Linked DNA regions of Caenorhabditis elegans. The protein of the gene in region 1 interacts with the protein of each later gene in a pairwise test. Each region holds a gene or a part of one and is shown on either strand. Other genes may lie near its edges.

What was found. The genes of interacting proteins can lie anywhere in the genome.
Region 2: the proteins of scrm-1 (region 1) and cri-3 interact in a two-hybrid assay, tested with the Caenorhabditis elegans proteins (2 studies listed by BioGRID).

Annotation. Positions count from the first base shown.
Region 1 is NC_003279.8:11,687,001-11,694,034, reverse strand, and holds scrm-1 (Phospholipid scramblase), read left to right. Parts: upstream 1-3,204; 5' UTR 3,205-3,213; coding exon 3,214-3,618; intron 3,619-3,731; coding exon 3,732-3,983; intron 3,984-4,389; coding exon 4,390-4,492; intron 4,493-4,538; coding exon 4,539-4,597; intron 4,598-4,644; coding exon 4,645-4,690; coding exon of another isoform or gene 4,691-4,698; exon of another isoform or gene 4,699-4,921; coding exon of another isoform or gene 4,922-4,926; exon of another isoform or gene 4,927-5,046; coding exon 5,047-5,069; 3' UTR 5,070-5,353; downstream 5,354-7,034.
Region 2 is NC_003281.10:3,392,982-3,399,958, forward strand, and holds cri-3 (Conserved regulator of innate immunity protein 3), read left to right. Parts: upstream 1-3,603; 5' UTR 3,604-3,608; coding exon 3,609-3,880; intron 3,881-3,930; coding exon 3,931-4,115; intron 4,116-4,165; coding exon 4,166-4,269; intron 4,270-4,318; coding exon 4,319-4,468; 3' UTR 4,469-4,646; downstream 4,647-6,977. Other genes in the region: mlc-4 (Myosin regulatory light chain), read right to left, coding at 236-583, 702-800; Protein clpf-1, read left to right, coding at 4,773-4,932, 5,350-5,547, 5,858-6,060, 6,112-6,263, 6,313-6,424, 6,478-6,561.

The DNA.
Region 1 (7,034 bases):
TCCCACACTCTCTTCCACCTCAAACTTTGAACCAAATTATCTCAAAAACGGCTAAAGATATCAAAAAACTTTCAACTAGCAAAATGTTCAGTGTTAAATTTTGCATCGGAAAAAAATTTGTTTTCTGAAATTTCTGCTGGCTCAAGTAAGGTAAATGCTCAGAAATGCGCAGATATCATTTGTCTACTTTTAATTAAAAACCTTGAAAAAATAATTTCCCGTTTGGTTTAGTACACCAGAACACACCCCTGCAACGTGTGTTCCTCATATGTTTGTGTCTAGTCTCCTCCCTTTCCCTCTTCATCTCTGCGTCTCTCACCACCCCAACACTCTCTAGGTGCCTTTTTATCTCTGCGTCCTCTCCCTCTCTCTTTGTTTCACGCTCTTTTAGCCACAACAAAACAAATGTTTCTCATTTTCGACCAGTTTTTTGTGGAATTTATTTTCTTTAGTTTTTCAACTTCCGAGTGTTTTTAATTTGTTTTCTCCTGATTTGTTAGGATTTTTTAACTTTCAAAATGAATTTTTTTCTGCAAATTTCGGACTGAAAAAATACAAAAACATTGCAATTTTTTTCTTAAAAAATAATATTAAAATTAAATCCTAAATTGTAAATTTTACATGAAAATTAATCCAAAAAAAAGAAAAGTGTTGCCAAAATTAAATTGTTATTTAGATTAAAAAGAGGCAAAGATTTACCCCACAGAATTGAAACCGGTTCCGCAGAAAAATTGCCCAATTAGCGATGGGTCAAAAATCGCATCTGATCGGGTTGTTTTTGTTCGTCATGGGTACCCGCGTACCTGTGTCTAGACAATATTTGTTTCGGAAAAAAATTAGTGAAAAAAAACTTGTTTTGTGTTTCTAAAAAAAAGTGTTTCTCATAAAATCTATAAAATTCTCAAAATGGAAAAAAAGCTCTGTTAAAAATATATTAGTTAAAGAAAAAAATTTAAATTGCACGAAAATAGTTAAATTTCTTTAAATTTCTAAAAATCTACTCTGAAAAATAACCTGTTTCCCTGAAAAAAAATTCCAGAAAATTTCCAATTTTTTTCTCTCAAAAATGCTTTAAAACTCCGAAAATACAAGAAACCTTCTAAAATATTTTTTTAATATTGGAATATTTTCAAATTACACAAAAAAAAATTAAAAATGAATTTTGTTCGAAATTTTCAGAAAATCCAATTGAGCCTGTAAAACCTTTGTACACGGAAAAAACTCTAAAAATTTCCAAAAAAAAATTAAGAAACCCTTTGAAAAATATATTATTTTCCATTAGAAAATTTTAAAAATTTTATGAAAAATTTTTTTTTTTCAATTTAATTTTCTAATTTTCGAATTTTTTCAAGTTCTCAAAAACTTCTATGATATTATTTCTGAGCTTTCCGAGCAACTTTCGCAATAAAAAGTGACGTCACTCAAAAAAAAGTAGTTTTGTATTTTGTATATTTGCTGAATCACCACTGTTTTCTGTTCAAATTTCATTGGTTTTTTTTTCTCTTTCATTTTTCACGTTTTTCCATTTCTCTCCCCTACTTTCTCTATGATTCAAACACGTTTTTTAATTCAACAAAAAAAGCGAAAAAAAGTGTTGTTTGGCCTTAATCATATGTATTAAATGGTTACCATGGTAGCTATCGCAAGTAGACAGCTGAAAATCTTTGATTTCTCTGCGTCTCTCCTAATTTTTTGATCTTTTCCGTATTCCGGCCACGCAACCCTTTTGTTTGTGTAGTTAGCTGGCTGACTTATGATTTTTTGGAAAACTGGTGAAAATGTTTCGCCCATTTTTTCATTGAAAAACCATTCTTAGTATCTACTTTTTAGTGGAACCTCTGATAATATGATAAAATGGGTATATTTTAACTAAAACCCTAAGGGTATACATAATTCCAAAAACGTTATTTTTTTAAACAAAAAATTGCGAAGCACCAAAATGCTCCGTGAGCTCAATATGGAAAACACTGAAACCTAGGCAATATGGGGCTTAAATCAAAGCTCTTAAAAAGCTGAACTCAAATTCGTATTAAAAAAAAATTTAGTGATTGTGAATAAAATAGAAAATAATGTGGGTAATTTCAGACAAAATGGGTATATTTTAACTAAAACCCTAAGGGTATACATAATTCCAAAAACGTTGTCTGAAATTACCCACATTATTTTCTATTTTATTCACAATCACTAAATTTTTTTTTTAATACGAATTTGAGTTCAGCTTTTTAAGAGCTTTGATTTAAGCCCCATATTGCCTAGGTTTCAGTGTTTTCCATATTGAGCTCACGGAGCATTTTGGTGCTCCGCAATTTTTTGTTTAAAAAAATAACGCCATTGTTAATTTTTATCATAAAATTTTTATTATAAGTTCAGCTCCCTTAGAGCGTCAATTCAAGCCCCATATTGCCTAGGTTTCAATATTTTTCACGTTGAGCTCGCGAAGCATTTTGGTGCTCCACGGAAGCATGAAAGCGGAAATTTTCAAACTAAAGTAATCTATACAATATGGATGCCAAGTTTTCAAATTTTTAGTGAATTGAGCAGCAGGATTAATTACGATTTGGAGTGTTCTGTGCTCACGGAGCAACAGAGCCCTACATTAAGTTTGAGGTAGCATAGGCATTATGGGTGTCAAACTAAAGCTTTCAGCTAGCTGAATCTAGCAAGATTGAGCCCACATCTGAATTTGGTGCTCTGAGAGCCAGAAATAGAGGTTGTTTTAATCAGATTTAAAATTGTCTGTGCCGTGCACAAATTGCTTCTCCTTATTCCCCTCTAATCATTGAGTTGTATGGCGTCATTGAACTTTTGATATGTAAAGCTTTTTATTATGAAATTTGATTTCAGCTTTCAGGAGCTTGAGAGCCATATTTTCTAATTTTAAGAATGTTTAAGACTGAGCTCAATTGGTGCTCCGCGAGCTGAAAGCTTTAAAGCTGAAGTTTTGTAAATTTAGATCAAATTCGAAAACATTTTTGTGCAAGCTCACGGAGCATCTTTTTTTTCACGTCACGTGAATCACTATGCTTACCAGATTGTAGCGCTGAATTGTATCAGTTCCTGTTGCTCCGCGAGCCCATAAAAACTTTACTATTTGATTCTACAAAAAGTCTAGGTGCCCCAGAACTTTCCTCCTGCTGATTTTTATCTTGAAATTTTTTCTAAATCTACTGTGCTTTGTTCATTTTTCAAGTGTTTTTTTTTCAGAAAATAACCATGCAGCAACCAGTAATAAACCAACAACCGGGCTACAACCCACAGGGTATGAATCCAGTGCAACAATTCGAAATGCATCAGCAGCAGCACCAACAAGCAATCACAACTCAGCCAGGTGTCTTTGTGCAGCCGGCTCCTGGCTCCGTGTGGATGCCAATGCCACCAGCAATCCAAGGTGTGCCTACAGGCCTGGAGTATCTTACCTACTTGGATACAATCATGGTGCATCAAATCAAGGAGCTCATCGAGATTGTGACGGACTGGGAGACCAAGAACAAGTACGTGCTCAAGAATGCAAATGGAGAACAGTGTTACTACGCGTTCGAGGAGTCCGGATGCTGTGAGAGACAGTGCTGTGGACCGCAACGTGGATTCGTCATGCATATTGTGGATAACTTTAAGAGGGTAAGCTCACGGAGCATCTGGTTCAACAAGCTCGCGGAGCAATCCTGAGCCCAAATTTTCAGGCCTACCAAGCCAAAATTGATCCACATGCTCTGAAATTTCAAATTTTCCAGGAAGTTCTGACCATCAAGCGTGAGTTCAAGTGTTGCGGAGGTGGTTGCTGTGGATGCTTGGCATGCATCGGATGCTGCCAGCAGGAATGTATCATCGAGACCCCATCGATGGGTGTTCTGGGTATCATCCGTCAGCGGTGTGGATGCATGTCGTCGAATTATGATATTATGGATGGAGATGGAAATGTGATCTTCCAGATTGATGGTCCATGCTGTTGCATGCTTTGCGGATGTCAGGATAAGGAGTTTCCGGTAGGTGAAGTTCTAGGGTCCTGAGAGGTGTCGGCTGCAAGGTACATGCTAGCTTGTCTGATTGCAAGGTGCTGTGAAATGTCGGCCGCTAAATATTACCTGAGGCTGTGAATGTATTGAAAATCCCAAAATTTTCACCGGCCCTTTATCTGAGGTTTTGCCAGTGAGGCGTCGGCCGCAATTTACTAGGATTACTGGCCACCCGTAAAGTGTCGGCTGCTTGAACCACCTGCTTTGCTGACTTGTGCTGTGCAGCCGACACCTAGCGGCTTTGTCGAATAACCCAAGAAACAGCGGTTGCCGAGCAGCCGACACTTTGCGGGTCTGTCGGGAAGCCAGTGAGCTACCGGCTGAAGATCCTATCCCCCTAAAATGTCCGCTGCTTCAATACCCTCAAAATTTTCAGATCAAAACCGCCAACAACGGCACAGTTGTCGGCGCGATCACCAAAAAATGGGGAGGTTGCTTCCGAGAGGCGTTCACCGACGCCGACACGTTCGCCGTCAACTGTAAGTCGCCCCCGTCCATACAATCAATAATTCTTGCAATTTTCAGTCCCCGGCGACCTGGACGTCAAACTCAAAGGAGTACTGATAGGAGCCACGTTTTTGATTGTAAGTTTGGTTGCTGTAGAATTACTGTAACTTTGCTAATTTTTCAGGATTTCATGGAGTTTGAGCAACAGAGCCAAAACCGCAATAACGGAGGTTTGTGATTATCGCTTTTTGCTAACAGAAGTTTTTTTGTTGTGGAAATTATTGATTTTTGCTTAAATTATCAACTTTTGTCTAAAAAAAACTATTGATTTATGTGAAAATTATCGAATATTGAAAAAGGATTGGTGTCTTCCCTAAAATATGAATTTTCGTCCAAATTATTGATTTTTGGGATAATTATGGATTTTCGCTTGAATTATCAATTTTTTTTTGCTTTTTCAGTCTAACCGTCCGTCTGCTTAACCCTCTACCATTTGCTTTACATTTTTGCTGTGTTTTTCGGTGATTAGAGCATAATTTGGTATGCAATCCCGGTTTTTTGTCAATTGACCTTTTTTTAATTCCAGGAGCCTATTACAGTTCTTCTTAAAGGTACAGCAAGCTCCGCATGCTGCTGCCCCGATGGTTGTGATTGCAATTGTGACTGTAATTGTTAAAAGCCAACTTTTTTAAAAACGTTTTTCTTATTATTCCAACGCATTCTTCCAATATATGTATGACGTCACTTTCCTTCAGACTCCGCCCACATTTCCTTGTTAAGCCCCGCCCACTCTCAGGTCTCCAAGCCCCGCCCATTTCTTCTAGTTTTCAGTGTCTGTCCCACCCACTTTTTTCTCACAAAATTATATATCAAAAATAAATTGTTTTTGAAAAATCGATAATTCAAATAGTTTACTACATATATTGATTATTTAAAGTGTAAAATTCACGAAATGTGTATTTTTGCTCACTATGAAATGTGCTCCAAAACGCTTTGCTCCGCGAGCCCTTTGCTACAGGATCAGCTCTATTTGCAAAATTTTCAGGTTGAAAAAATGGAGCAAGAACTTCTTAACCCTGCTCCACCGGTTTACGTTGAACTGCAAGACCGAGCTGTTATTACAACTCAACCGGGAGCTCCGATACAAGCGGCTCCAGGATCCATCTGAATGGAAGCGCTCCCAGCAATTGAAGGGGTTCCCGCCGGCCTAGAGTACCTTGCATACTTAGATGAGATCATGGTGTACCAAGTGAAAGAGATGTTTGAAATATTTACCGGCTGCCCTAAAAACCAAAAAAACTCACAATCAAAAACGTGGCTCCAAGGAGCACAGCCTTGAGCTTGACATCAAAGTCGGCGGGGACTGATAATAGCCAGGGGTTATTTTAGCTTTTTTCAATTAAACCTACATAAGACGGCAAAAGTGTCCGCGTCAGTGAACGCCTCACGAAGTACACCACCCCACTTTTTGGTGATTGAACCGATGAGCTCATAGTTATCGGCAGTTTTAATCTGGAATTGTCTACGCAAGTGGCCATTTTCCTGCTGAAGATTCACCATAAAATCCTAATCTTCACAAAAGCATTGTGTACAACAGTCCGGCCCATCAATTAGGAAAATCACATTTCCATCCTTGTCCAAAACATTATAGTTAGTGGATACACAACCATGTCGTTGACGGACTGTACCCAGAAGACCTATTGAAGGAGATTCAATAGTACATTCGTGTTGACTACATTCAAATGATCCACAGAAGACACCTCCTGTTGTGACTTGGGCCTAACGCTTCCCCTGCGTCCCAACTTTGCAGATATATGACCGGTCAGGCTCACCCACTCGCCACCACTCATTATCCGCGAATACATTCACTCTCCGTTGTCCTTTTCCGTTTATTATCTATTAATAATAATTCCCTTTTGAATTACCGCCATTTGCGTATTTCCCGATGCAAGCGCGCTCCTCCGAGACCTCCCGTTACTCCGGAGCGTCGTAGCTCCGTAAATCCACACAATAATTCTATCCTACTTTTAGGCCAATCGTTCATTCTGTTCTACCTTCACCAGACGAGTCAGCGGCTACCCATCCGCAGACACTGTGATTCAGGACCTTTCTTCACCATTTCCATCCTGATAATCACTTTAATTCCTATTTATATCCTCTGAATAAACTGGAATTCGTCTGAAACTGTGTACTGTTATTCTCTCCGCACCGCTTATCACCAATGCCGCTCGAACATTGCTCCGTGTCTCTCCGCGCGTATCAGAATACGCTCGGTAGGGTGACTGACTCCCCTCTACTGGTCCCGAGTGTCAACATTGGTGCATCGACCGTTGCAGCTCTTGATTTTCACTAAAAAATCGAGCTGTATTAAGAATCTGGAGTCAGGCGGAGACACGCGGCGCGGTAGCGTGCGTGTAGAGTTAGTACACAGTGCATTTTTTACTACAAAATCCGGAACAGAGTATGTGATTGCGCGTCGTGGTGTTTACGGACTCCGTAAGTGCGCTCCACTGAACATAGTATTTTTTAATTATTTTTCGCTGTTATTTTTAATGTTTTTTTTGCCTTTTTCTT
Region 2 (6,977 bases), on another chromosome or scaffold:
TTCCTTCAAAATCTACAATAAAAAGCGAAAATTATCGCAATTTTTTGCAAAATAAAGAAGCAAAAACTTCTTCACTAGGAGTACACGACCGGCGTAAATCGACACCAAATTTTCCGGCTGATAAATCGAAAATCTCTGAATTTTCCACGATTTTAAGAGGTCCAAAATCAAGCTTTTCGAGCCAGAAACTCCTGTTTCCCTTCTTTTTTTCGTTCCGAAGTTACAGCGATTATACCTTAATCGGAGCATCTCTAAAGAGCTCATCAACCTGTTCCTCGGAATATCTCTCGCCCATCGTGGTGAGCAACTCGCGAAGATGCTCCTCATTGAGTTTTCCCGAATTATCCTCATCGAAGCATTGGAACGCATTCCGTATGACTTCCTCCGGATCCGTTCCAGTCAATTTTTCACCGAAAAGTGTCAGGAACATTGTGAAATTGATCGGCTGTGCTCCGGGAGCCTCGTTAATCATCGAATCGATGAATTGTTCGGTGACTTCTTTTCCAAGGGAAGCGAACATATCCTTCAGATCCTCTTGATCGATGAATCCATCGCGGTTTTGGTCGATCATGTTGAATGCCTCCTGAAATTGAATTTATTTTAATTGTTCTTTAAAAATTCCGCTGAAACCAATGGATTTTTCGTCTTTTTAAATTTTTATTTTTTCGAAAAAAAAAACGAAAAATGAGGCTGTCACCTACTTTGAACTCTTGAATTTGAGCCTGATCGAACATGGCGAACACATTGGAAGTGGCTCTTTGTGGCCGTTGACGGCGGTTTACGGTTTTGCGGGAGGCCATGGCTTACTGCAAAAATTTGAAAATTTGCGATTTTTGAGGAAAAAATAAGGTCTCGACACGACAAATTTATGTTAAATACTAAAAGGTGAGCGCCTTTAAAGAGTACTGTAGTTTTACTAATTGGATTTTTTTTCTCGAAAAATCAATGAAAATTCGGGAATACAGTACTTTGAATTTAATGAAAATTTGTCGTGTCGAGACCTTTTTTTGATGCAAAAAACGTCTAGACTCCTCGAGGAAAAGAGGAAAAAAGTTTCCGTTGTTTTTTTGTGAGAATTTCAATTTTTGGCCGAAATTTTGATAATTTTTGCAAACTAATATTGTTTTTAGCATTGAAATCGCTAATTTATCGTTTATTAGCAGTATTTTTGAAACGAAAATTGATATTCTCTCAAAAAACGATGAAATATGAAGATGGTAGAAACCAAAAAAATGTGAAAAAAAACTGAAAAGATGCGGGGCGTGGAAAATATTATTTGATAACGAAAAAGCGGTGAGTCACCGCCGCAAAAAATGTTTTGTTTCAGTTTTTTTGTTTCCTATTACGATTGGAAGCGAGGTTTTCGAAGGAAATATTGATTCTCAGCGTTTGTCGCCTTGGAAAGGGGATTTGAACCGAAATATGACACATTTTTGAGGGAAATGACCGAGAAACGGAGAAAAGATTAGAATCTAATAGGCGGAGGGCATATTTAGGATGTCAAATGAGGAAAAACGGAGCGTAAATTATTTAAAATTTGCACTTTTTCGTTTTTCGGCAAAAAAAACAAGGAAAATCAGTTTAAAAGTTCCGGAATTTTTTTGCAAAACTTGGAAAAATCATCAATTATTTTCAATTAATGTTAATGTCAGGGGTGGGCGGCAAATTGGCGGAATTGAAATTTCCGGCAAATCAGCAAATTGCCTATATGGAAATTTCCCGCAAATCGGCAAATTGGCGGAATTGAAATTTCCGGCAAATCAGCAAATTGCCGGAGTTCAAAATTTCCGGAAAATCGGCAAATTGCCGGTATTAAAATTTCTGGCAAATCGGCGAACTGCCGGAAAAACGACAGGTGCCGAAAATTTTCGGCAAAATGTGGTTTTGCACCTTTTTTTGGAAATTTCAGAATTTCAATTTAAATCGGCAAAATTGTACGCACCCTATGAATGTTCCTACGTCTATTTTGAAAAATAAGCAACTTCTATGAAAATTTCTTTAAAAAGCGGGATATAAATTCCAAAAAGGCAGTTTTAAGTGGTTCCGTCTTATAAAAAGTGCCTCTACACATTTCCGGCAAATCGGCAAACCGGCAATTTGGCGATTTGCCGAACAGCACTTGCCGCCCACCCAATTCCCGGTATAAAAATGTAGATTGTTTAATATTTTCCCCCGGCCAAAATTCACATTAAATGCGACGAAATGCAATTTTTTTTTCCTCAAAACTGTAGCAGAAAATGGAGAATTCTCTCCGGAAAGCAGAAAAAACGTTATGAAGTGATTCACATGACTGGCAAACATAACATAAACGGAAAAGAGCGGAAAAACAATCGATATTCTTCGGAACGACGGGAGAAGCAGTGAAGAGAGTGAAGAGACGGAGAGAAGACAGTTCCCATTCGTTGTGTATTTATACGGAGACAGTTCCTTTCGAATGTGTGTGAAAGGACATTGGAATGAGGAGGTATATATGATGACTTGCCGATAAACAAGATATTCCGACGGAATACGGAATACGATTTAATTTCTGGGAGGTTTTGGGAACGGAATTTGGGGTCTAAACACTATGAAATACCGAAAAAATGGTTTTTTAAATTTGAAAGTACGCCAGTTTTTGCCCTAAATGACAGAAAAAATCCTCACTATACAGGACATTACTGCTGAAAAATTAATAAAGATTTCCTGAATTTTGTTTGATTTTTTAATTTTTCCAACAAAAAACCGAATAATTTTTGAATTCCCGCGCAAATAAATGTTTTCTAGATCGGTTTTTCTAGATTTTTCATTATTATTTGATTTAAAACATGATTTTTCGAATTTTAAAGAGTTTTTCCGTTTAAAAAACGCTATGACCTCGAAATAAATACACTGAAGCTTCAAAAATTCCGAAAAATGCCAGAAAACAAGTTTTCTAGACGAAAAAACTTCTGAAAAACTGAAAATTAATGAAAAATCGAGAAAAACCAACGATTTTAGCCAGAAACACGAAATTCGAAAATTCAAAAGTATAAAAATATTCCTTAAAATCGATAATCTCCTAGTTTAATCAATAATCTTCAAAAAATTCTAAACATAAATTTCGCAATGCTGCTTTTTCAAATGACTCATGACTCATCGCGCCAGCTGCGCAGCTCTATTCCATGTTTTTACAACAAAAAATCGATTTTTCTGGCAATTTTCAGTTTTATTATATAATTTTAAGCCCAATAGTCAATAATTTCAAAGAAAACGCACTTTAAAATCATTTTAAACAAGAAAAAATCGATTTAAAATGAGAAAATATGGCTGAAAAACGTTTGAACACAATTCCAAAGCGCGCCAAGTTAAAGGCGCATGCCATTTTGCGGCGAAGATATCTTGCCACGAAAGGCTCTATTTGAATTATTTTCGTCGGCTTTTCGCATATTCTCTCGCTTTTTCTTCGGTTCTGCACGCTTCCACTGATTTTTTCGAGGTTTTTCATTGAAATTATTGATTTTTGACAACTAAATTAGCCTAAAATCAATTAGAAACGCTTTATAACCTGATAATCTTGATTTTTAGCTCGATAAAAACTTGCATCATTTTTGGAAAATGTAATTTTCTATTTTTTTCTTCTTTCAGGTAAAATGAACACTGCTTCCCTTGTTCGCTCCCTGTCCCGAGTGGCTCTCCGTTCATCCCAGGTCGTCAGAATGGCCGCTCCACGCCATTTCTCACAATCGGCCAAGGTTCTGTCAGTAACGCCAGAACTTCAACAGGCCCTGAACCGTGAGATCGAAGCCGAGCAACAGCTGAGCAGCGACAATCTTCAAGGAGCCGTTGCGCCGACATTTGCTGGCTTCCAAGTCACCAATAAGGACGCCGAAGTTAGGCTGACCAAGAAGAATGGAAGCGAAGAGTTCGTTTTTTTCAGAATTTTTCATAGTTCTAAAGTTAATTTTTTTAAAGCATTCTCGTCGTCTTCAATGTGAACCACTCTGTCGATATGGACGAAGGATTCGACGATGAGCCATCCCAGGCCGTCGCTCCAGTTCCAGTAGCCATGCCACCATTCACCGTCGAGATTACCAAGGGAGATCAGAGACTTTGCTTCCATCTCGAGCTTGTGCCAGTTGACGATCAACCTGATGAGTGTAATACTCGATTTTATCGAAAACTCGAATAAAATATATACTATTTATAGATGATTTCCGCGTCGAAGAGTTCTACGTCGCCCCATCTGCCAAGAATGGAAACGAGGACGTACCATCCGAGGTGTACGCTAGCAGTGGAAAATATATCGATCCAGTTAGTAGTCCCAAGAGGACCGCAAATTATTGATTTTTTCTAATTCCAGGACCTCCACGATCTCCTGTTCGTTCGTTATTTGGAAGAACGCGGTCTCGATGCTCGGTTCTGCAAGACTCTCGTCGCCTATGCCACTCACTACGAGCACTCTCAATACGTTGGACTTCTCGACAAGATCAAGAAGTTCATCTCCAAATAGATTGCTTTCTGAAATTTTTTCAATTGTTTTGTTTTTTCTGTCTTTTATAACTTTACTGTTGACGTTTTTAGGTAATCTAAATAAGTAGCACATTTTCTTTCAGCTCGTTTATTTTCCTTAGTTTTTTGTTCTGTTTTGAGGTTTCTCTCCTCCAAAAATAATAAACCCATTGTTTTTTTCTTCTTTTGTAGTTTTCCGCATCCCAAATTTTTTGTAAATTAACTATGTCTTTGCTTTATCTAATTCCGCGTTTTTTCCTGAAAATTAAAAAATCAATAAAGCCTCATTTTCAGATTCCAAAGAAATGAGCGAGGAGAATGTTCAAGAGTTCGTTTTGAAAGAGGACTGTGAGCTGAGATTTGCCGCCGGAGACGATTCGGATGTCTGTCTGGAGCTCGTCAAGGGATACGCTGAAATTTTTGGCACAGAACTGCTGTTAAATAAGAAATATACATTTCCAGCCAGTAAGTTTTCCTCGAAATCTGGATTTTTTTTCAACTTTTCAAAAACTCCCGTTTTCTGGCTATATTTATTGCTCTTTCTCCGTTTTTTTTCTGTAATATTTCGCTTGAAACACTGTTTTCCTAATGTTTCCGCAGAAAAAGCACAAATTTCTGTGAAATTATCGACTTTTAGGTCAATTTCCAAGTTTTAGCGTGTTTCTTTGCGGTTAAAGTAGAGAAATTCGCTGAAACTTCATCTTGAAACTTGGCCTAAAAATCGATAATTTCAGATGTAATCATTTGTTTTATGCGGAAAAGTCTGGAAAACAGTGTTTTAAATCAAATATCACAGAAAAAAATTGAGAAACACCAATGGATTTGGCCATAAAAGTCAATTTCGGCCCATTTTCTGCCATTTAAAACCCAATTTTTCCTCAGAATCTCGTGTGGCGGCGTTCACGTGGAAAGGCGCCACAATTGAGCTCGTCGGCACAACCGAGAGCGCATACGTTGCCGAGAGCACTCCGATGGTCATTTATCTGAATATTCACGCAGCTATGGAAGAAGTTCGGAAGAAGAGAGAGGAACAGGCGGCTGGAAACTCGAATAAGGCAAAAGGACCGAGATTGCTGTTGGGTGAGCTGATTCTAGGCTTTTTTTGGAGATTTTTCGTCGAAAAACTGAAAATTTCTGTGGTTTCTGCAGGAAAATCGAGTAAAAATCATTTGAAATACTGGAAAAATCAATATTTTCAAGGGGCGGGGGCTATTTGCAAGCCTGGCACGGTTGTTTTGCAACCGTGCCGCACGGCCCGCCCACCTTTTTATTTTATTTTTTTTCGGAATTTAAGTAATTTATTTTTATGTTTGGCTTCGAAAAATGTAGAAAAAACCTTGTTTTCCGGTTTTTTACTGATTTTTAACCCAAAAAATAATTAATTTTCCAGTTGGACCAACGGACGTCGGAAAAACCACAGTCTCCCGTATTCTGTGCAACTATTCGGTTCGCCAAGGACGTACCCCGATATTTGTGGAGCTCGATGTCGGTCAGAACAGCGTTTCGGTGCCCGGAACAGTTGCAGCTGTTCTTGTACAAAAAACAGCCGACGTCATTGATGGATTCGAGAGAAATCAGCCGATTGTCTTTAATGTAGGCTTTAAATTTATCAAATAATTCACAATTTTTCCCAATTTTTTCCAGTTTGGGCACACTTCTCCGTCGGCAAATCTATCTCTCTACGAAGCATTGTTCAAAGAGATGGCAACTACACTAAATGCACAAATTCAGGAGAATGATGAAGCCAAAATCGGCGGAATGATCATTAACACCTGTGGATGGGTTGATGGGGAAGGGTTTGTCGTTTTTTTCGCTGAAAATCTGTTTAAAATAGCTCAATTTCAGATACAAATGCATTGTAAAAGCGGCATCGGCATTTGAAGTCGACGTGGTTATTGTGCTCGATCACGAGAGGCTCTACAGTGATTTGAGTAAAGAATTGCCGGAATTCGTCAGAGTATGTCGCGAAAATCCTTGTTTTTTGTTTGAAAGTTAATCATTCATTTACAGCTCACACATGTTCCAAAATCCGGTGGAGTTGAACAACGAACCGGGCAAATTCGTTCGAAAATGCGCGGAGAAAACGTTCATCGGGTAGGTTTTGTCCTCAAAATTCGAAAAATAAAGTTTTTCCAAAAAAATCTTTGATTTGCACTAGAGACATCGACAAAAATCAGCTTTTCAGAGCTGAAATATTCGAAAAATGAATATAAATTGAAGGGGCGGAGCTTATTTGCAAGCCTGGAACGGTTTTTCCGCAGCCCTGCCGCACGTGCTAAAAGGCTCCGCTCTATGAAATTTTTTGCAGTTTTTGAGTGATTTTGACAAGTTTTCTGTATTTTTTGTCTATTTTCTATTGGAAAACATTTGATTTAATCGGAAAAATATATATATTTGAATTTTTGAGCTGAAAAATTAATTTTCTTCACGAAAATATTGTCCCTGGGCCTTTCAGGCATTTTTTTTCTAAAAATAAAACATTTCCAAAGAATTCTGTATTTTATGGTCTA